Caenorhabditis elegans: one gene and its partners. The protein of the gene in region 2 purifies or fractionates together with the protein of the main gene of each other region. This does not show direct contact. Each region holds a gene or a part of one and is shown on either strand. Other genes may lie near its edges. The genes, in order: emc-2, T21D12.12, F53F4.15 and srbc-68.

What was found.
Region 1: the proteins of T21D12.12 (region 2) and emc-2 fractionate together in Caenorhabditis elegans (co-fractionation; one large-scale study listed by BioGRID). This does not show direct contact.
Region 3: the proteins of T21D12.12 (region 2) and F53F4.15 fractionate together in Caenorhabditis elegans (co-fractionation; one large-scale study listed by BioGRID). This does not show direct contact.
Region 4: the proteins of T21D12.12 (region 2) and srbc-68 fractionate together in Caenorhabditis elegans (co-fractionation; one large-scale study listed by BioGRID). This does not show direct contact.

Annotation. Positions count from the first base shown.
Region 1 is NC_003280.10:1,301,029-1,308,470, forward strand, and holds emc-2 (ER membrane protein complex subunit 2), read right to left. Parts: upstream 5,109-7,442; 5' UTR 5,092-5,108; coding exon 5,055-5,091; intron 5,002-5,054; coding exon 4,868-5,001; intron 4,524-4,867; exon of another isoform or gene 4,473-4,523; intron 4,357-4,472; coding exon 4,168-4,356; intron 4,112-4,167; coding exon 4,028-4,111; intron 3,976-4,027; coding exon 3,817-3,975; intron 2,123-3,816; coding exon 2,027-2,122; intron 1,971-2,026; coding exon 1,866-1,970; intron 1,715-1,865; coding exon 1,634-1,714; 3' UTR 1,471-1,633; downstream 1-1,470. Other genes in the region: glb-31 (Globin domain-containing protein), read right to left, coding at 366-470; alh-6 (L-glutamate gamma-semialdehyde dehydrogenase), read right to left, coding at 5,357-5,573, 6,142-6,479, 6,529-6,987.
Region 2 is NC_003282.8:263,782-269,303, reverse strand, and holds T21D12.12 (BPTI/Kunitz inhibitor domain-containing protein), read right to left. Parts: upstream 2,857-5,522; 5' UTR 2,854-2,856; coding exon 2,683-2,853; intron 1,689-2,682; coding exon 1,598-1,688; intron 1,554-1,597; coding exon 1,440-1,553; intron 1,266-1,439; coding exon 1,202-1,265; intron 1,145-1,201; coding exon 1,033-1,144; 3' UTR 982-1,032; downstream 1-981. Other genes in the region: pat-6 (Paralyzed arrest at two-fold protein 6), read left to right, coding at 5,080-5,247, 5,293-5,368, 5,414-5,522.
Region 3 is NC_003283.11:13,617,965-13,622,233, reverse strand, and holds F53F4.15 (Neuropeptide-Like Protein), read right to left. Parts: upstream 1,259-4,269; 5' UTR 1,228-1,258; coding exon 1,080-1,227; intron 1,034-1,079; coding exon 828-1,033; 3' UTR 758-827; downstream 1-757. Other genes in the region: F53F4.16 (uncharacterized protein), read left to right, coding at 414-548, 593-652; srd-11 (G-protein coupled receptors family 1 profile domain-containing protein), read left to right, coding at 2,548-2,658, 2,893-3,059, 3,109-3,262, 3,307-3,579, 4,033-4,223, 4,266-4,269.
Region 4 is NC_003283.11:3,544,666-3,549,237, forward strand, and holds srbc-68 (G-protein coupled receptors family 1 profile domain-containing protein), read right to left. Parts: upstream 1,953-4,572; coding exon 1,778-1,952; intron 1,737-1,777; coding exon 1,279-1,736; intron 1,234-1,278; coding exon 1,012-1,233; downstream 1-1,011. Other genes in the region: srw-130 (G-protein coupled receptors family 1 profile domain-containing protein), read right to left, coding at 2,304-2,384, 2,445-2,586, 2,632-2,846, 3,494-4,088, 4,136-4,233.

The DNA of each region.
Region 1 (7,442 bases), on a different chromosome or scaffold from region 2:
TTTTTTGAAATTTTTTTCTCATTTTTTTTTCTTGAAAAATTCTAATTTTTGTTAATTTCTCTATTAAATTTGAATTTTCAGCTTATTTTCACCTTTCTCACGTTTTTTTCCGCTCATTTAGCTTAAAAATCAATATTTTGGGTTACTGTAGCCTCAAAAGTACGCAAACACCAAACACTTCACGCAAACATGCACATAATTCCAAAATTCGCGGAAAAAAGCCTTATCGGAGTAAAAATTGACGTAGAATTCGATTTTGATAATGAAATCTTCAGAAAATCAGCGAAAAATACAGAATTCTGAGAAAACTAGCCAGTAAAAGCAGTTTTGTCGGGCCAAATCGGCAAAAATATGTAAAAACTCACCTCTTGGAAGTACTGATCGTTTCCATTGATATGATCCATCCAGACCGACCGAACCCTGTCGATATCAAGCTTGGGACGTCGGAAATACGCCAAAATTATGCCCATTTTTGGAATTTTTTTCAAATTTTCAAAAAAAAATTTGTTTGAAAATTTTCGTTTCCAAAAAGAATCTCAAAACATGCTAGAAATATTAGAAGTACTCAGAATATTGCAGAATACATTCAGAATCTGAAGACGTGCAAAAATTTGGAGGAAGACGGGGACCAAAATTGCTAATTAGCGCCCCTTTTAGGCCCCCCCCCCCCCGCGCTAATTTGTTTTTCTTTTTTATACAAATTAGCACCTCTTAAGAGGGAGCTCTTTTTGCTTTTTCTCTGTTTCTTAGGGGAGTTTCAGGAACTAAAATACGGAATTCTACGGAAAAATTCGAGAAAATTGGATTTTGTAGTTTGTAGCACGAAAATTGTGTACTTTCCGCTGATTATTATCGATTCTGATATCAAAAATTGAATTCTACACACATTTTTACCCTTATGCAGCTTTTTTCCGCAAATTTTAGAATTCTCTGCACTTTTGCGTAAAGTGTTCCATGTTTGCGTACTTTTGAGGCTACAGTAACCCGGAAATTTTTATTACAACTCGAATGGAGTCGAAAAAGTCTCGTATGGGTGAAAAAACATAAAAATCCAAATTTAAAACTGATAATGCACAAAAATCAATAATTTTTTTTTGGCTCAACATTTCTGAAAATTATCATTTTTCACTGATTTTTTAAACGATTCTGACACAAAAATTGAATTCTACACAAATTTTTACCCATGTATGGCTTTTTTCGCGCATCTTTCAGGTTTCTGTGCATTTTTGCGTGAGTCGCATGGTGTTTGCGTACTTCTGAGGCTACAGTAACCCAACTTATCGATTTCAGCGCCAAAAAGGAGCCGGAAAAACCGGAATAGATGTGAAATAACGCAAAAATTCAAGATTTTCAAGAAAAAAGTAGTTTTTAGTCTAAAAATTGCTATCAAAAATTGGTCTGCCAGACTACAAACTACAAAAAGCTATTTAGCAGACCCAAGACTCTAAAATGGAGCAAAAACGGTGGCAAAAATCATCACATTTATTTATTCTTGAGGAGTTCTTTTTTTCGATAAATATACTTTCGATAGACATTAAAAAAATTGAATTTTAACAGAAAATAAATAGGAAATAATCGAATATTCGGGGGAATGTACGTAAAGCATATCATTTTTTGGGAGGAAATTGACAATTTATTTGCTTCCAACAGTGACTTTCATGGCTTCGAGGCAATTGAGAATTCCGTCCGATTCTGGATTGCTTTTTGGACTTATCTGGAATTTTTTAAGGTTATTTTTAGAAAAATCACGATTTTTTTCGAATTTTTTTTTCAAAAAATTCAAGAAAAAACAGCCGAAATTCGGCATTTTTTGGAGTTTTTAGAGCTTTTTCCAATTAAAAACTATTAATTTTATCAAAATCTACCTTCTGATAACGATTAACCAAATTATCGATTGCATCAACTGCTGCAGCTCCGGCTTTCTTCTTTTCCGTCGCATTTTTGGTGGTCGCCGCGATCAAATTGTTGCTCTGAAACATTAATATAGACTACAAACTACAAACTACAAACTACAAACTACACTTACCAATAGAATTCCGTATTGAGATCTCAAATCGGTTGGGTTGATTTTGAGCGCACGTTCGTAGTAGGAACGAGCCAATTCCACGTTTTCGGCGCCTCCCTGCAAAAAATATAGTTTGGGTCTGCCAAATATGAATATGTAGTTTGTAGTCCAGCAGACCAATTTTTTCAAAATCACATGGGTCTGCTAAATCGAAATTTGTAGTTTGTAGTCCAGCAGACCAAGTTTTTCAAAATCACTTGGGTCTGCTAAATCGAACATTGTAGTTTTTAGTCTAGCAGACCAATTTCGAATTGAAATCACTTGGGTCTGCTAAATCGAACATTGTAGTTTGTAGTCTAGCAGACCAATTTTTTTCAAAATCACTTGGGTCTGCTAAATCGAACATTGTAGTTTTTAGTCTAGCAGACCAATTTCGAATTGAAATCACTTGGGTCTGCTAAATCGAACATTGTAGTTTGTAGTTTAGCAGACCAATTTTTTTCAAAATCACTTGGGTCTGCTAAATCGAACATTGTAGTTTTTAGTCTAGCAGACCAATTTCGAATTGAAATCACTTGGGTCTGCTAAATCGAACATTGTAGTTTGTAGTCTAGCAGACCAATTTTTTTCAAAATCACTTGGGTCTGCTAAATCGAACATTGTAGTTTTTAGTCTAGCAGACCAATTTCGAATTGAAATCACTTGGGTCTGCTAAATCGAACATTGTAGTTTGTAGTCTAGCAGACCAATTTTTTTCAAAATCACTTGGGTCTGCTAAATCGAACATTGTAGTTTTTAGTCTAGCAGACCAATTTCGAATTGAAATCACTTGGGTCTGCTAAATCGAACATTGTAGTTTGTAGTCTAGCAGACCAATTTTTTTCAAAATCACTTGGGTCTGCCAAATATGAATATGTAGTTTGTAGTCTAGCAGACCGAATTTCTTCAAAATCACATGGGTCTGCTAAATCGAAATTTGTAGTTTGTAGTCCAGCAGACCAAGTTTTTCAAAATCACTTGGGTCTGCTAAATCGAACATTGTAGTTTGTAGTCTAGCAGACCAATTTTTTTCAAAATCACTTGGGTCTGCCAAATATGAATATGTAGTTTGTAGTCCAGCAGACCAATTTTTTCAAAATCACTTGGGTCTGCTAAATCGAAACTTGTAGTTTGTAGTCCAGCAGACCAAGTTTTTCAAAATCACTTGGGTCTGCTAAATCGAACATTGTAGTTTGTAGTCTAGCAGACCAATTTTTTTCAAAATCACTTGGGTCTGCTAAATCGAACATTGTAGTTTTTAGTCTAGCAGACCAATTTTTTTCAAAATCACTTGGGTCTGCTAAATCGAACATTGTAGTTTGTAGTCTAGCAGACCAATTTCGAATTGAAATCACTTGGGTCTGCTAAATCGAAACTTGTAGTTTGTAGTCCAGCAGACCAATTTTTTCAAAATCACTTGGGTCTGCTAAATCGAACATTGTACTTTGTAGTTTGCATTGTAGCAGACCGTTCAATTTTTTTTAGTTTTCCTTAAAAAAAATCAATTTTCAATCATTTTCGGTAATTTCTCTATATTTTTTAAAAATTTCTTCATTTTTTGCATTAAAATAATATATTTTCGTTGAAAATTTGTTTTTCTGACATTTTTTTGACGGAAAACTGACAATTTTCGATTTTTTTTCTTCAAAAAAAAAAGTAGAAAAACGAGAAAAAACCAATTTCCATTGAAAATGTATTTGGGTCTGCTAAATATGAATTGTAGTTTGTAGCCCCCAGCAGGCCCAAATTTCTCCAATTTTCCACACACATACTTGAGTATATCTCAAATCGGCTAATCGTCTGAAATACATGGAATTCAGCGGCGAAATGAGCACACACTCCTCCAGGCAATGTACCGCCTTTGCCACGTCATTTTCGAGCAGGAAAAGCTCGCTGAGCTGAAGCCAAGCTTCTGGGTCGTTCAGGAAAATCTGAAAATTAATAAATTTTAGAGTTTTTTTTTTCTAGAAATCAAATGAAAACCTTCAGGTAATCGTTGATAGCTCGAATTGCGTCGAGACGCTTTCCCTGAGCGAGAAGAACCGCGACTTTTCGCTTGCGGAAGCTCTGAAAATTCAAATTATTAGAAATTTTGCAAAAAAAAAATTTCCTGAATTTTTTACATTATTATTGGGCTCATCCTCAACCAGTCGCTCATAAATATCCAACGCCTTCTGATAATGTTCCGTAGATTCCAACTGCATCGCTTTCAGCTTCAAAACTCGATTACTCTTCGGAAATTGTGCGTGAAGTTGGTCAATGCAATCCTGAGCCAGATCGACACGAGCCGCGTCGAGTGCTGCGATGCACACCTGAAAAAAATTGGAAAAATTAGGTGAAAATTCGATTTTCTCGTGAAAAATGAGTATGGGTATGCTAAATCGAAGCTTGTAGTTTGTAGTCTAGCAGACCAAATCTCCTCAAAACTACATTGGTCTGCTAAATATGAATTTGTAGTTTGTAGCCTAGCAGACCAAATTTCATCGAAACCACTTGGGTCTGCTAAATATGAATTTGTAGTTTGTAGTCTAGCAGACCCAAATTATTGAATTTTTTCTCGAAAATAATCATTTTTTCAGTAAAAAATGACCGTTTTTATTGATTTTTTCCAGTTTTTCGCCGAAATTTGTATTATTTTCACTATTAATCAACCAGAAACGTGATAACTTAGAAAAAAGCGTGGGTCTGCTAAATATAATACTGTAGTTTGTAGTCTAGCAGACCAATATGCTTTTCACCAAAAAAACCAGAAAATCTATGGTTTTTTTCTATTCAAAGCCAGATTTTCAGGATTTTCAGCGTTTTTCGACAAAATTTCAGCACCTGCTCCAACACAGCCCATTGCTCGTCTCCAAGAGAAGCCGGTGAGCGTGAAATAACGTGCTCCCAAATTTCGACGACCTCATCACTTCGTCGAACTCCGCATTCTCGCCACTTTTTCAGCGCTTGACGTCCTTCTGCAAGCATTTATCGATTTTTTTTTCAAAATTTGAATATTGTAGAATGTTACCATCGTAAGAGACTTGCGTCCACTCGGTTTCAACCATTTTCGGGAGGGAAATTTCTGAAAAATATTGATTTTTTCCAACTTTTTAATGGAAAAGTTCGGTTGGAAGGTATAAAAATAGCGAGAAAACTATAAAATAAACGGTTATAGCTGGAAAAAAGGAAAAAAAACAAAATTTATTATGCGATCACGGGGGAAAAAAAATTAAAATTCAGTGGTAAAGCAATAATTGTTGACCTAATCAAAAAGAAAACTATATTCTCAATATGAGAAAAATCGGAAATGAAAAGAAAAAAACAACATAATTATTCCATTGATGGATATTTCCAGTCAGTCAATGACACCGACGTCTCCTTAATCGTCAGCGGCGAGGTCCATCGGAGCCCATAGTGGGGGCCACCGGCCTTATCATTGGTTCCGGACAATCTGGAGCCTCCGAATGGCTGCTGGCCGACGATTGATCCAGTTGATTTGTCGTTGAGGTACATGTTGCCGACGGCGTCGCGGAGAACATCGCGAGCTCTGAGAAAAAAAAACACTTTGTTGAAAAACGTTTTTAACACAAAAATTCGCCTCAAAAATCTCGAAAAATCGATCGAAATCCAACAAAAATTCCAATAAAAAATACCGTAGCCCTTTAAAGGGACACACACTTTCACTGTTGGGTCTCGCCACGCTCAGGAACATCTTACTGTCGCTTTCAAATTTTTTGTTTGTTGTTATCGCTTTTTTTTTTCGATTTTTGCCAGTTTTTCTAGCTTTTCATTTGATTTGTGACGAAATTCGAGGGTTTTTATTGGAGAAATTGTGTAATTATCGTTTTTCGACATTTTTTAACCTATTTTGTTCGGTTATAGAGAAATTTCTTGAAAATTGCCGAAAAAACAGAATTTCAAGATTTCGAATTTTCCGGGAATAATTTTAAATCGACTTTTGGCAGTTTTCTTGTGCCTAAAATGTTGAATTTCAGCATTTTTGAACATAACAAACCCGAAAATTCGAGTTTTTCTTCTTTCCGCTGGGTTTTTAGATAAAATTTTTGAGTCCCTGAAAACCTGTGCAAAAACTTGTATTTTTTGTAGTTGCCAACCTATAAAGGAACTCCTTATCCTGCGAAAAAACGGCGCCAGTCAGCCCATAAGGTGTCGCGTCTTTCACAGTCGCGAGCACCTCATCAACCTTCGAATCCTCGTAGACCAGTACCGTCACCACCGGTCCGAACATTTCCTCAGTGAGAAGCTTGCTCTTCGGATCCGTCACAGTGATCAGGGTCGGCTCGATGAAGTATCCCGTTTTGTCGTCACATTTTCCGCCGAGCACCACATTTGCTCCGTCGGCTCCGGTTTTCGCAAAGTCAATGTAGGCCTTGAGCCTGGCAAACGCCTTATCATCGATCACAGCCGACAGAAAGACGGATCCATCGCGAACCTGTAAACTACAAACTACACAAAAATCGGCAAGCCAAACAGTGGCCTACATCTCCAAGCTTGATCTCTTTGTGAATCGCCGAGATTTTCTCGAGAATCTTTGGCCAAATCGATTTTGGCGCGTACATCCTGGAGCACGCCGAGCACTTTTGTCCCGAATATTCCCAGGCGGAACGGGCGGTTCCAGCGGCGACAGCGTCCACGTGGGCGGATGGATGCACAAAGTGGAAGTTTTTTCCGCCGCATTCTCCGATGAGTTTCGGAAAAGTCACATAGTTATCCAAATTCTCGGCGACTTTTCTCCAAATCGTCTTGAAAGTTGGCACGGAGCCAGTGAAATTGACAGCGCTCAAGTGTGGAGATGCGGTGATGACGTCACCGAAAACGGGGCCATCTGATGGCAAGAATGAGAGAATTCCAGGTGGCATACCAGCTTCCTCGAGGAGTTCGTAGATTATATAATTGGAGAGCACGGCGGTGTTCGATGGCTTCCAGAGGGAGACGTTACCCTGAAAAAATTGGGATAAAAATGATTTTTTTTTCGAGGGGAAAATGGCATTAAAATCGCGAATTTCATAGATTTCTCAAAAAAAAAAGTTAAAAATTCCAAAAAAATTGCCTGAAATCTCAGCATTTTGGGTCTGCTAAATCGAAACTTGTAGTTTGTAGCCTAGCAGACCCAATTTCTTCAAAACTACTTGGGTCTGCTAAATCGAAACTTGTAGTTTGTAGTCTAGCAGACCAAATTTCTTCAAAACTACTTGGGTCTGCTAAATCGAAACTTGTAGTTTGTAGCCTAGCAGACCCAATTTCTTCAAAACTACTTGGGTCTGCTAAATCGAAACTTGTAGTTTGTAGTCTAGCAGACCAAATTTATTTAAAACTACTTGGGTCTGCTAAATTGAAAATTGTAGTTTGTAGTCTAGCAGACCCATAGAATTGGGTCTGCTAAATCAAAACTTGT
Region 2 (5,522 bases):
ATAGAACAAAATTGAGTATTTTACAAACTTTGTCTAAAGGAAAGAAAACATCTTGAAAGTTCAATTCTGATTGTTTAGATTGTCTTGTAGGCGTTAATTTCACACAATTGTAGCTTCAACTGAATCATTTTCCACGGATGTGTCTTGATTCCACTTTCATGAGAAGTTGTAAACTGCTTCGATGCGCGTGCACTTCCATCTTCCTCTGCTGCAAATTGGCCTCGAGCGGAACTTTTTGAAACCGTTTTATTTTTATGATCGAATAACGCAAGAAGCAAACATTTTGGATGATCAGAAAACAATGAATGAAGCATTGAAACAAGGAATGAATTAAACTACATAAATGTTTTCAATAGCGTTTGATACTTTGAGTTTTTGGTTTTAAAAGATTTTAAGAACATTAAACAAGGCATTTGTTCAAAACATGCAAACATTGAAAACTGAGCATTTTTGTTTTACACAAATTCTTCTTAATCCGAATGTATTAAAAGATTTTGCAACGAAAATTTGAACTCTTTTCAATTTCACAAGTTTTTAGAAAAGCTATTTCGGCAGACATCTGAAGGGTGCGCTCGAATGTAAGTAACAAAATAAAAAATGATTTTTAAAAAAACTGCGAAAACAATACATTCAATTACAGTGCTGGCCGAAAAGATATCCACTTTTAGTTTTTTGATAATTTCACTAATTTTTCAAATAAGTATAACTATAAAACTAGAAATGCTACCGAAAAATTTTCAATTAACGTAATATAGTACATGACTATGTTTATTCGTACTTATATGTATTGATTATCCACTAAAATCGTGGCAAGAAGTTATTATGATATTCCAGTTTCTCTGTTCCGTGATATTACTGTAAATAATATCTATTTTGAACTAGTATTAAGATATTTAAACACGTCTTTACTTGATTTTTTGGTAATTTTTATCAACTTGCATGATTCATTTATATAGGTCTTTGTGCAAAATAAATTGTTTTCGTTTGAAATATTTATATACATTAAGAAAACTACTGTTATTTGCTAAAATGTTACATGCAAAAGTTTTTGCATTCGTTGTACGTAGCAAAGTTGTTAGCATTTCCATCGCGGCCATAGAAAGTGAACAGCATGCAGTTCTTGTAGGACTTTGAGAAGAAATATCTGAAATTTAATTTATTGAATCCGTGAAAGTACAATAAAAATTAGTTGAATTCTTACCTGGGTGTATGTTTTCCACTAGATCCGAATTTTCCAGCGTCGTACTGCAAACTACATGTGTTTTCTGCAAATTTCTTCGATCTTTTGTTGTGCTTCTTTCACATTTGAATAAATATTTACACATCGAAACAGAGTTTTTAGTTCTAAAACACCAGTGTTCAGACAAAGTACAAACCGCTTTAAACTTGTGTTTTAAAGATCACTATAACTTTTCAAAATCTCTTCAGAAAATAGTAACCTTTTGTTGGACAGCATTGTTGATTTTGACACTCGTAACCATGTGGGCAATTCGAACATCCAACAGTCTGACCAGAAGTGGCTCCAGCTGGGTATGCTCCAGATGGACATACAGCTGAAAAACTATTATACACCTTTGTCATCCATTGTTCAACTAACCGTAAGCTAAATCGTCAGAAGCAGTCGCGTTCCGGCAAGCTGATTCACAAGCCTCTTTCGATTGGAATCGATTGGAGTTGCCGTCGCATCCCTAAAATTGTTTTATTCATTTTAATTGAACGTTTTTCCAAGAAGTATACTATTCTGTTAAATTCAACGAGAAATTTCCGTTTGTGAGAAGATAAGGTATATTCCTAGCATCAGCTCAAGCACAAGCTAAGAATATACCGTAAGTATGGCCCTTAGCCTGGGCATAAGCCTAACCTTAGCCTATGACAAAACCTAAGCCTAACTAGGGAACCATCAGAAGGTGCCCATCAGACTTGCATATGAAACCTATGCCATTCGATAGCCCATGTCTTAAAACGGTTACTCGTGAATTTTTAGCTGCGAATCTCCAGAACCAAGGTCACTGCGAGCTCTCAAAGATTCTAAAATAGCACTATAACGAAGCACTGTAACGATGAAAAGAAGCAATTTTCCAAATTCACTTTGGTAGCCTATATCTCCGTGGATATATTTTTTACAGAAAAGTCATCAACTAAAAATTTTTTTGATAAAAACTTGTAGTTGAAAGTTTTTATCAAAAAAATTGTTGTTTCAGATTTAACTAAAAACTTGTTCTTTACAACAATATCAACAACTTTTTAGTTGATGACTTTTCTGTAAAAAATTTATCGGCGGAGATATGAGCTACCAAAGTGAATTTGGAAAATTGACCTTTCAAAGCTTCGTTACAGTGCTATTTTAAGATCTTTGAGAGCTCGCCGTGAGCTTGGTTCTGGAGATTCGCAGCTAAAAATTCACGAGTAACCGTTTTAAGACATGGGTTATCGAATGGCATAGGTCTCATATGCAAGTCCGATGGGCACCTTCTGACGGTTCCCTAGTAAGCCTCCTCCGAGACTAAAAATTTTGGAGTGACCTTCTATTAAGGTCCTCTTTCAATTATAATAGGTTTCATTCGGAAGTCCGAGGACGAGCTGAAAGGCTTCCCTTGTCAGCCTAACTCTAAACCAAAGCTTAAGCCTAAACCTAAACCTAATATAGGTAGTATGCTAAAGGACTACTGGAAAAAACAGTACCTGATAGAAAAATGGCTGACATGTGCGGGTATTCTTGTGGAAATAAAATGAGCGGGCTCCCTGCTGACCACATCCAGAATTTCCAGTATCGCGAGCGGAAAAACAATCTGTCTGCTGTTGAGCAAAGCAAAATGTTATGAAAATGGTGGAAATCGTAATTGCAGTTAGCATTGTCTGAAAAAATACAATTTTTTTTACCCGTTAATGATCAATGAGAGTGGAATAATATTACTAGCCAATGCCAATTAAAAGCAGAAACCAAAAAGAAAACTTCAATTCTCGAATGATCTTTTCCTATTTTATACTCAAATTCCTAGCAATATTTACTTAAGAATCTTCGTCCCACCTACATAACTAAGATTTGGCAAATATCAAAAGTTTGGTCAACAGGAAAATGTTCAAAATTGAGTTGGTGGTTAACAAATAACCTACACATTCTCCCGAAAAAGAATTCATTAAAGATCAATGGGCACGATTGAAAACATGGCAAAGTTTTATTGAAAAATGAAAAACAGGCAAATATTTGGCTGAAATCGCTCAGTTTTCAGAAAATATCCACACTTTGACTGAAAATGGTGTAGGAATTGATGTAATAACAAGAGACAACAATCGATGTGGTTCCGTTTTTACAAATCGAATTGTTGATAACAAAGAAAATAAGGGAGCGTTTTGAAAATGAAGGAACTGGTTTTTCGATTGTACGAGATACAATAGTTCTTGACACAGACACCTACAATTTGTTGATAACGAAGGATAGACGCATCGGGTTGATGATTAAACAAATTTGAAGGAAGTACACGAAATTTCAAAAATTTAAAGGTGGAGTAGCGTCAATGGGGATTTTGTCTAAATACGCTTATTATGATTTCAAACGACCGAATATCATAATAAAACTACAAAAATTTTTAGATTTTCCCTAATTTCGGTCAAAGTTTTGGCACATTACCAAAATTTTGACAAATATGAGCTTTTGAGGACATCCAAAGCAATGTCGCATATTCCGGTCTTTACAATGATTCAACAAAAATAATTGAAACAAAATTACAGTATAAAAAATGTAGGAAAAATAATTTTTTTTGGTCGACTTCCAAAATTATGAGTGGCAAAAACTGAATATTGAACACTTTTTGACAGTGAATAAAAATTTTTCAAAAAAGTTTTGAAAAGTTTTATTATGATTATTTGTCACTTTGGCACCATAGGAGTATTTTTTAACACTTACTCCATTGGCCCTACTCCACCTTTAATAATTTTCAGATTTCCTAATTTTCTAGATTGCATGCTAATTTTTACAATTACTAGTTCAATGTTTCTTAATCTGATTTCGGTTTAATGCAACTATTATCATACGCCAGGAAATCGAATGTACCGTACGTATAATCAATGTAACTGATGTGATTTTTCATAATTTTTTCCTAAAATTGTTTTTCAAAATTTTTTCAAAAATTGCTATGGAAAAAACTATTTTCAAAAGACCGACCTGTGGACCGACTGTACCGTATTTCCTCTATTAGTCTTGCACTCCTACAGACTAATTGAAAATCAGTCTTACAGCCTGTAATAGTCTAGCACCCCACTTTTTGTCATATTAGCAGAACTTTGTGGAAACGTAAGCAAATTTATCATTTTTGGAGTAAATCAAATGTAAAATCGTTCAAATAATTGATGTAATATTGGGAAAGTATGTATTTTTCATTGTTTGAACGGTCAAAATTGTATCACTTTCCAAAGTTCGAAAAATAGTTTTCAGTCTCTATTAGTCTTGCACCCCTAAAGACCAATTGAAAATTAGTCTCGCATGCAAGACTAATAGCGAAAATACGGTAAATGCAGAGTTGTTGTCTTTCTTAATTTATTTTTATTTTTATTTATTTGAATATTAGTTGTTATATGGACGTCCTTTTCTTTCTCAATACATATGCATATACAAATATTAACTTTCCGTTCTTCTTTCCTATTCCCATACATTTATATGTATCCCAAAGCCTTCTCTCTCCCCCACACACACCATTTATCTGCACCATCCTCTTTTCACCCAATCTCTCATTTGTCGTAAACTCTCCTTCCAACTCTACGTCTCTTATTGTTCCCAACACTCTCTCACTTTTTCAACACTGACGACGGCTGTTTTACACTATCTGCTGGCCTGGATGGGGACTTTTGTGTTGCTCTACGGAAAGAATCCTCCCACACAATATTTTTACTGCTATTTGAACATTGAATTATCGATTTTTCAAATTTAAATTTAAGTGCTTAAAGAGGAAATGTTCCAAAACAGAGTTTCATAATGAGACTTCAAAATTTTTTTAACTTATCAATATCTAATTGTACTTTATTTTTTATTATGAATCAACAAATATTTACCCCTTAATAATTTTAAACTTTTCAGCAATAACCATGTCAACACTTGGTCGTAGTAAGACCCCATCTCGTGACGAACCAAAAAAGCCTGGAGTCTTTGAGAAACTCTCTGGTACCCTTTCTCGAAAGAAGAAGGCGCCGGAAGATGAGCATGGAAACCAAGGGGGTGCACATCATGCTACTGATGAAGATGAAGTTTTGGAGGTTAGTTTTGCAAATTAATGGTTTTAGCAAATATAGATTTTTCAGCTTGAACTTGAAGGTCGTGAGGCTCTCGATCAGTCATTGGTCCCAGTTCTTGCAAGAAACATCTGGTTGGAAGAAGGTAAACGGTTTCACCAATATATTTATCCAATATATTTTTTTCCAGGAGAAATTCGTCGTTATCTGACTAAGGAAACAGCCCGCGATCAGAAGTTGGCACAAGTTGTCGATTTGCTGATCTACTGGCTTAATGAAGAGCTAGCTGATCAAAGAAT
Region 3 (4,269 bases), on a different chromosome or scaffold from region 2:
TGTTTCATTGTTTCCGTTGTTACCCAAATCATTTCCCTTCATTTTTACCATTCTTCGTTGATCTTCTTTTACTTCTTCAACAATTTTGTTATTTCTTGGAATTTATTTGAATAAATATTCATCGTTGAATTCAAGTTGTTTTTCGTTTTTATTTCTTTGGTTTTTATCCATTCATAATTATGCTTTCAAAGTTTCGAGAAGAAATTAAAAAATCTCATTAATTTCGAACTTAAAAAAACGTCAACGAAACATGAATAAAACTACATAGAAATTCACTTTTTTGTTGAAAAATTATCAATTTTACCAATTTTTGTGATTTTCGGTGATTTTCTAAATTTTGAAAAATTGAGTTGAATCTTTCATTCTACCCATAAAAGAACTAATTTTTCTTGACTTCATGACTTTTATTCCAGATGAGTTTACCCTGGTATCACCTGGAACGGCCTGCTCGAATGACCTTGCTACGAGCTTATTATACTGTATGTGCACTCACATATCCTACATATGTGGCGATCAACTACAAAAGTTATATTCCAGACAGAGCACAGGTAAAATTAAATCTAATTAGTTGCAGTTAATGAAATATATTTAGGTTCTTGGCGGAAAATCACTTCGTGACGAGATTCTACATCCGGCAATCGTCAAAAACTAGATCTATCGATGTGCAATTCCTCATCATTCTCCGAATTTTTGTCAAATACGAGTATTTTTCCGCCATTATCATTGGTTTTGAGTTTTCCCCCATAGGCCCTTTTCGTTTTTTTCTTTTAGTTTTTAGTCGTTGTTTGTTATCATTTTAAATTTATTCATTCATTAAAATTATTTAATTATGGATTGATGAAATAGTTAGAATAACGATACAATCCCCAGACTGGCTTGTTGGGATTGTAGCCATAATTAGGATAATATGGAATATTATCATCATAGACAGTTGGAAGATTTTGTTGAAGAAATAGACGATCATAGAATCCTGTCCGAGCAAATGCAGACGGAGCTCCACGAAGATTTGCTTCACGATCTTCCCGTTCTTCTACTTCAAAAAGTAATATTAAATTCTACAACTTCTCCGTGAAACCTACAAATCTCGGCAGCAGTTTTATCATGTTCACATGGCCAGACTTTACGAAAATTGACTCTTTCCGGAAGGCACATTCGACCAGGTGGCATTTCAATAGAATAACCAATCAGGAGAGTGAAGCAAAGAATAGAGAGATGAAGAGAAAACATTATTGATAATCATACAATGGGAAAGAGAAATATGGAAAAGACGATTAGGTGAAAAACTTCAAGAAAACACGATTTTTTGGTGATATCTCAGTGATCTCGACAGATTGAAAAATATGGGCGAACTGGATTCGCAATGCATTTTTGTATGTAATAAAGTTAATTGAAAATTAACTTTAAAAATATAAATAGTTCAGATTTATCAGGTTTTCCAAATAACAACATAATTTTTGAATAACGATGCATTAGGTTGTAGGTTGGATTTAACTTCTACCGTTTCACTTCCAATTTCTCAGCGTAAAAGCCAATCGTTATTTACCTCTGAAAGAGAACAAGAATGAATTCTTAAAACTTGCCTATATTTTTCTCATAAAATTTTGTAATTCGTGGACATCGCCTTAACCAAATGTATTATTACGAGATCACTACTTTCTGAGAATGCGTGTTGTGCAACATATCTGACGCGCAATATATCTCGTAGCGAAAACTACAGAAAATATTTAAATTACTACTGTAGCGCGAAATATTTTGCGCAATACGCATTCTAGACATCTAAAGATAAGAATTTTCGCCACATCTTAAATACTTATGCGCACGGTCTCGCCACGCTGACAACGAGTTACTGTAATAATGCATTATAATTTTCGTTTCAAATGAAACATTGCTTCTAAAATTTTTAAATAAAAACATGATCAGTCATAAATCAGCACGAGTTACAGTAGTCAGTAGTCAGCGTGGCGAGACCCAAGCGCGTAAGATATGGCAAAAATTATCATCTTCAGACATCTATGTAATAGATTTAATATGATTAAGGCGTCGCTATTTTGATGATCTGTAAATTTTTTTTGACAATTGTCTAGAACATCAAGTTAACTTAATGTTCTAGACTATTGATATAATACGAAACGACACAGATATATCCCAGACTATGAGTAATTCAAACAGTACATATATTCTCAGGTACGCCAGACGCTTTCTACTGAATGAAGCAATTAACAGCTCTGAGAGCCATCACGAGGAAGCATAAATAGAGATATCTTACGTGCACATGATGTGTTTTCCTTCCTTTTTCGAAAAGTCGAGTGAATAGATATGATAATTGTTTACTTTTTTACGGATTACGGAAAATCTAGTTCCCAAAAAATTATTTATTTTGCAAAATTCTTAGCATTCCTTAGAACAATATAATCATTCTGTAACCATAATCTTCACAGTCATCGTTCCAGTGAAGCCTTAAAATAAAGATTTTCTTTCTATTGAAAAATTTATATTTAAGAGAGAGCTTTTACCATTTTTTTTTTCACTTTCAGAAAAACTTGAAAAATGCTGGACTCTATCACATTATTCTTCCTTTCTTTCCATACGTTTGCCGGAGTTTCTGGCTGCATTCTCAATTCAATTGTGCTCTTTTTGGCACTTTTTCGGACTCCGAAGGTTAGTTTTTCGTGAAAAATCTTTGAACTAATCATAAAATATAGATTAAAATCAAAATTTGAGAGCTTTAGTTCCCAGTTTGGTAAAAACTGTGCAAATCTCGTAATATAGGCTCAGCTTTCTACAGAACTCTGCCATTATAACTAGGTGTGGGATAGCTGGAAATGTTCTGCAGAAATTCCTCATCACATAGACAAGCAATTTCAACCTTCAAACATCAGTTTCCATTTCCAGACAATCGCCGCTTACACCACAATTCTCATAAACTTTGCATTGACCGATTTCCTCGCCTGTTTCACAGATCTTTTCATTCAAATGCGGCATATTCCGGCTGGATTTACAATGGCTTATTTGTCACGTGGACTGTGCACTTATTTTGGACCCCATGTCTGCTATTTTATGTACACCATAATACATATTCCCCGACACGCTTCATTTTCTTAATTTCAGATACAGCATAAACATTTCATTAGTAGCTCATGGTCTATGGTCATTGCTAATGGGGTTCTCATATCGATATTATATCCTGTTTCATCCGGCACCAACGAGAAAAGCTTTGATAGTAATTCTTATGTTTATATCAATTCCGTCAATTATCCAAATGGTAATAATGTGAAACAATTTAGATTTCAAGCTGATACTTTTAAGATAACATTTCTGTGGGCAGACGATGACGCAGATGAAATGAAGCGAATTGTCGTCGAACGATTTCCGGAATATCAACTTCAAAACGAAACTATTTGCGGAACAATTAATATTATTGAGTTTTCTGCAATGTTCACAATTCTACATATGACGTGCCCAATAACACCAGTCTACATAACTATTTGGATATTAAGAAAAAAGATTATTGAGAACCTTACTTCTAATTCAAAGGATATGTCATCAAAAACTAAAGAAATGCATAAGCAGCTATTGAAGGTATGGGCGTTCGGGTAATAACAAAACGATTACGGTTGATGCATGATGCTTTCTTTTATGGTTGGGGTGGAATGAGCAATGTATCATAAAACATGACAACATTCGCATCCAAGTTAGACTAAAAGAACTTTGCTTAGCAGCTGGTTAGATTTGGACAAAATTTGAGTAGAAGTATGGTGAGTAGAAGTAATAAACTTGGCAAAAAAGTTTGAACCTATGTTCTAGGTTCCTAGGATCGCCCGTAGTCCGCCTTCGTCAGTGAGCTAATTATTAAAAAACCTTACTTTTAGTTCAAAAAATTACCAGATATCATGTAGGATTTCGGTGGCAACTTATTTTTGTTGCACTTATCAAGTTGCCTCCGAGACGATTGAAATTTTTCAAACAATTGATTTCTGCATTAAAAACGTGACGAAATGCTTACGAATTACTTCAAACGCCAAAACCTTTCAGGCTCTCACATGGCAAGCCATGATCCCTGGCTTTTACGGAATGAGCATTGTATCTTACGTCATTGGGCAATTCTTTTTCAATCACCCCGTATTTGAATATCTCACGCTCACAGGATTCCTTTTTATGCCTGTTCTTTCTCCACTCTCTTGCCTGATATTTATTCAAATTTACCAGAAACGAGTTCTATCATGGTGAGCTTGAAACAATTATTAAAAAATAATTCCTATTTTCAGGTGG
Region 4 (4,572 bases), on a different chromosome or scaffold from region 2:
ATTAGACCACATTGAGAAAAATATAAAATTTTTGACGGCAAATATGTTTGAGGCTATAATCGCCAATATATACATTTTGAATATACTAACTGAACCAAAAATTAATTCGGTAGATTTTCGGTAACTTACTTGAAAAACTGTATCCAATATCTACAACAAATCTTGTATAAAAAAGGGATAATTCTGATTTAAAAGTGATTTTTTTGAGGCAAAAAATTGCTAATAAAAGGATCAAATTGAAGCATATATTTGAGTAACAAACTAGAATATTTATCATAGAGTTAATGATAATAATAACTGACATTAATACTGATTTTTTGTACTAGCAAGAGCTAAAAGTCCAGTTCTCAAGTATTGAAACAAATATGTCTAGTTTTTTCTCACGATTTTAGAGACTCTCGTAGACTTTGTTTATTAGTATTGTCTGTGAAAACTGAAAATAAAAAAAAAGTATAACATCTTAAAATATTCAATTATCTAGCTTTTCTCACGATTTCATAGACTGTTACGTAACTGGTTATGACTGTGAAAATAGGAAACATAATGTTATTGTTAGGGACAAAAAGATAATAATACTCAACTTTTGTGTAAATAATATATTAGTTAATTTCCGTTCAGCAGATACCTTTCACGCAGTTGTCTAATAGCTTAATTGTACAGGCCAAGAACAGAAAGTGCATTAAATATGAATGCGTTTCATTGTTACTATAAAACCAATAATAATTGCATTTTTAAAATGAAGTGCAGACAGGCTAGGCAAAAACATTACTCAAACGACGCTGCCGGGATTTCATTTTTATCAAATTGGATAATTTATCTTTTGTGTTAATGTGTTAATATAAAAATTAAAAAAAACAACAAGAACGTCAGTCGATAAAAATAGGATTAATTAATAATTTGAAGGTAGTTTTTTATGCGACCTTCAACGTACAATTCTTTACACATTTACTAAAAAACCAAAAGCAATAGTTTGAAGCAATTTTATTCATTTATTTTAAAAAAATTAAGTTCTTAAGAATTGGGTGATGTTAATGCTGTCACTGTATTATTTTTATCTCTCATGAATATTCGAAAAATGATCAATGTGTTGATTAAAAATCCAAGATTTCTAGAGAGAGTTGCAAACGACGAATACGTTTCATAATCAGCTGATTCAAACCAAAAAGTAGACATGACCGGAACAAGATTGAATAAAATAAGAGTTGTTGAGTCAAGCATAGCTATTTGGGTAGCCTTAAATTTATGAATTGCTTATATTTTAAAGGTACAGCACCTTACTCTTGAATAAACTTGAGCCGATTGGTTCTGTGCAAGAACAGTGTAAACAACAAGTTTCCCTAATTGCAATACTGTCAAAACGACGATCATACTGAATACAATTTTTTCGTGCTCTACCCAATAAATACTGTAGCACTCATTGAAAGAACAACGGAAATGGTCGCAGTTCATGGGAGTATCAATAGTATTCCCACAATATCCGAACATGATAATTTGATCGAAAATTATCAAGGAAAAAATTAGAATAAAAATGGCAAATAGTGGAAGTTTGCTACGGTTTGCGCAATAGAAGAAAGGGAAGAATAGAGAAATGACTCGATCCAAAGTAGTTAAAAATAATAGACTTGTTCGAATGATTCCAAATATAATAGTAAGCCATAGTGTGATGAAAATGAAATTTTTAACGGCAAATATTTCCGAAATCATAACCGCCAAAATGTACAATTTGAAATTACTAACTGAATCAAAATTGAATTGAATTAGATTTTCAAAAACTTACTAGAAATACTGTATCCAATATCTGCAGCAAATCTTGTATAGAAAAGAGACAATTCAGATTTGAAAGTGACTCTTTTAGAGCAGAAAATTGCTAATAAAAGGATCAAATTTAGGCAAATATTTGAGTAACAGACTATGACAGTAATAAAGGAATATATAAAAACAATAGTTGACATTATTCTGGGCTCTTTAATAGTAAAATGTTTTTGTGAACAGAAGTTACTTTTCGTAGGGTTTCAGACGTTTCTCAGCTATCAGCAAGTTCTACAATAGTATCGATAGCATTTGTGACAAGCCTCACTAGAATATGAGATAATTTCCGTTGTGCAGTTATTTCACAACCACAAGTAGTTGTATAGGGTTTTATTCTTACTCTAACTAAAATAATAAAAAAGTTCAATGTTAGAAGGAATTGTTTGATTACTGGACGAAAAATTATTATTACTTGGGAGCCAGAACCCGCCATTTGTCGGACGCTGCTTCATTTTATGGAAAATAATACTTTGGTGACTTATAAAGATGATGGATCATATTGATATTGCATTTACTGTTATAACATTTTGTTGTGAACTTTTTCGACTTTTGCAAAGATTTCCAATTCTGTTCTTCTGAAAATTTATTGAGTTCATACCGGCTCCTTTTTCAAATTCGCTCAAAATTATTCCTACCTGGAAACTTATCCCGCACGACACTACATCTATCAGTGTTGCCCTGTATTGTGAAGACAAGACGAAACAAACAAAGAAATGGGAAATTGTGTTTGCGGTAAGTAGCATATAAAAAAGAGCTTCAAATTGATCAAGAATCAGCCTGAAAAGCTAGCTGTTTCAGCCAATTTTTTGCCGTCAAACTTACTTGATTCCAACGGAATTATTGAAAAACCAAATGATCGCCAGATTGATTCCAAGTGGAAGCTCAACAATTAGAAAAATAATCGCTGTATAGATTATGATTTTTGTAGACTTCGTATTACTATCGGTCTTGGATACCAGTTTCCGAGATTTTTTAGCTTTTCGTAGGACGTTTACAAGAAAAAATGTGACTATAGGAAAGAGAATCGAAGGAATGATCTGAAAATTTGTTGCGATCTACAGTAACCCTTACAGTAACCCCTCACTACTTTGACACTATCCCCACTATCACTTCAAATGAAAAAACTCAAATTTCCAGTATTAAAGTAATCCTACAGCTTCTACAGTACCCCGATACTATCTCCAAGTATCTCTTGTAAAAACAGAAACTAAATTTTTCTAGAACTAAAATAATTCTACAGTACTCCTAGAGTGTCCCTACAGTACCCCTACTGTACCACTTCGGACTCCTACAGTACCCGACACTATCTTTTCATAAAACAAAAAATCAAATAAATAGAGCTACAGTAGTCCTATTACGACATTACTTCCACAGTACCATTACAGTACCCCGCCACTATCCCTCACTATTCTTTTGAAAAAACAATAACTCAAATTTCTAGAATTACAGTATTCCTACAGTACTCCTACATCACTATTACAGTAACTCGGCACTGTCTCTTCAAAAGACAAAACCTCAATTACTACAGTAATCTTATAGTACTCCTACAGTACCCCTAAAGTACTACTACAGTACCCCGACACTATCCCCAAATATCTCTTACAAAAACGAAAGCTCATATTTCTGAAACTACAGTAATCATACAGTATACCCACGGTACCATTACAGTTTTAAAAAAACTTACATGAGAAATCATTGCATTTGATGTGGAATATAGTTTTATCAGAAACCCGTCATTTTTGGAGTACAACTTTGATAGAAGAATGGCATATTCTAGCTTATCGTCTTTGGAGCATGGTGAATAATTTTTCTGGGAAGCAATTTTATAGCCGAAAAAATCCAAAATATCCATGAACAAGCTAATTGACAAAATTCCAAAAATAACTACAACAGATGCTCTTGGCATAGATAACTTTTCAAACTTTTGGCTCATTGGATTACGAATCACAAGTGCTCGGATCATGGCGATTGACAAGCAGAGCCACGGAGAGCATCGTCGAGCAAAATCTCTGAGTTTGATAAAGCACAGGTCAATTAGAACGGAAGCATGTGAATTTGAGTTGAAGCATTTATAATTGGTACGGAGCCAATAGAGAATTGATGTTTTAAAGTTATAAAATAGGGATAAAATTTCAACTATGGCAATTGCTGTCATTATAATATTCACTGAAGAAGTTCTGATTGGTTTTCGGGTTAGAATTATGAAATGGAATATGTTTATGAAAAAACTGGCGACTGAGATGTAAGATTCGTAGTTTAAGATTCTAGATGAAAATTTTCTGAAAACAAATTTGGATTTTTTTGTTCAAAACTTTAGCCTACGTACTCAACGAATTCTTGAAAATCGCAATAGGCAAGTGCAGTTGACTTATCGTAACCTGGGAAGCAGAAATCAAGATCCGACCTGCAATCGAACACTTCCATCTCCGAGCAGAAAAAATCGGAAGTAGTTATGGGTACAGCTGGTTTTTCTTGTTTTTTGACACTTCTTTCAGGAGTTAACTCAATAATGCAGATTAGAGACAGATGGAAAATTTGATATTCAGGATTCGATCACTAGGTGATTTTTGATGACGCTTATCAGGAAAAACAAGTAGAGAGGCAAAAAACATAAACAAAATTTGAATTTCCGCGTAAAGTACATAAATTGTGCACAAAGTTCGAATTCAGACACTTTAAGCTTCCTTCAAGCTGCATTTGAACCAGGGGTGGCCAGCAATGGCAGTTCAGCAAATTCGGAAAATTAACAGATTGCCGGTTTGC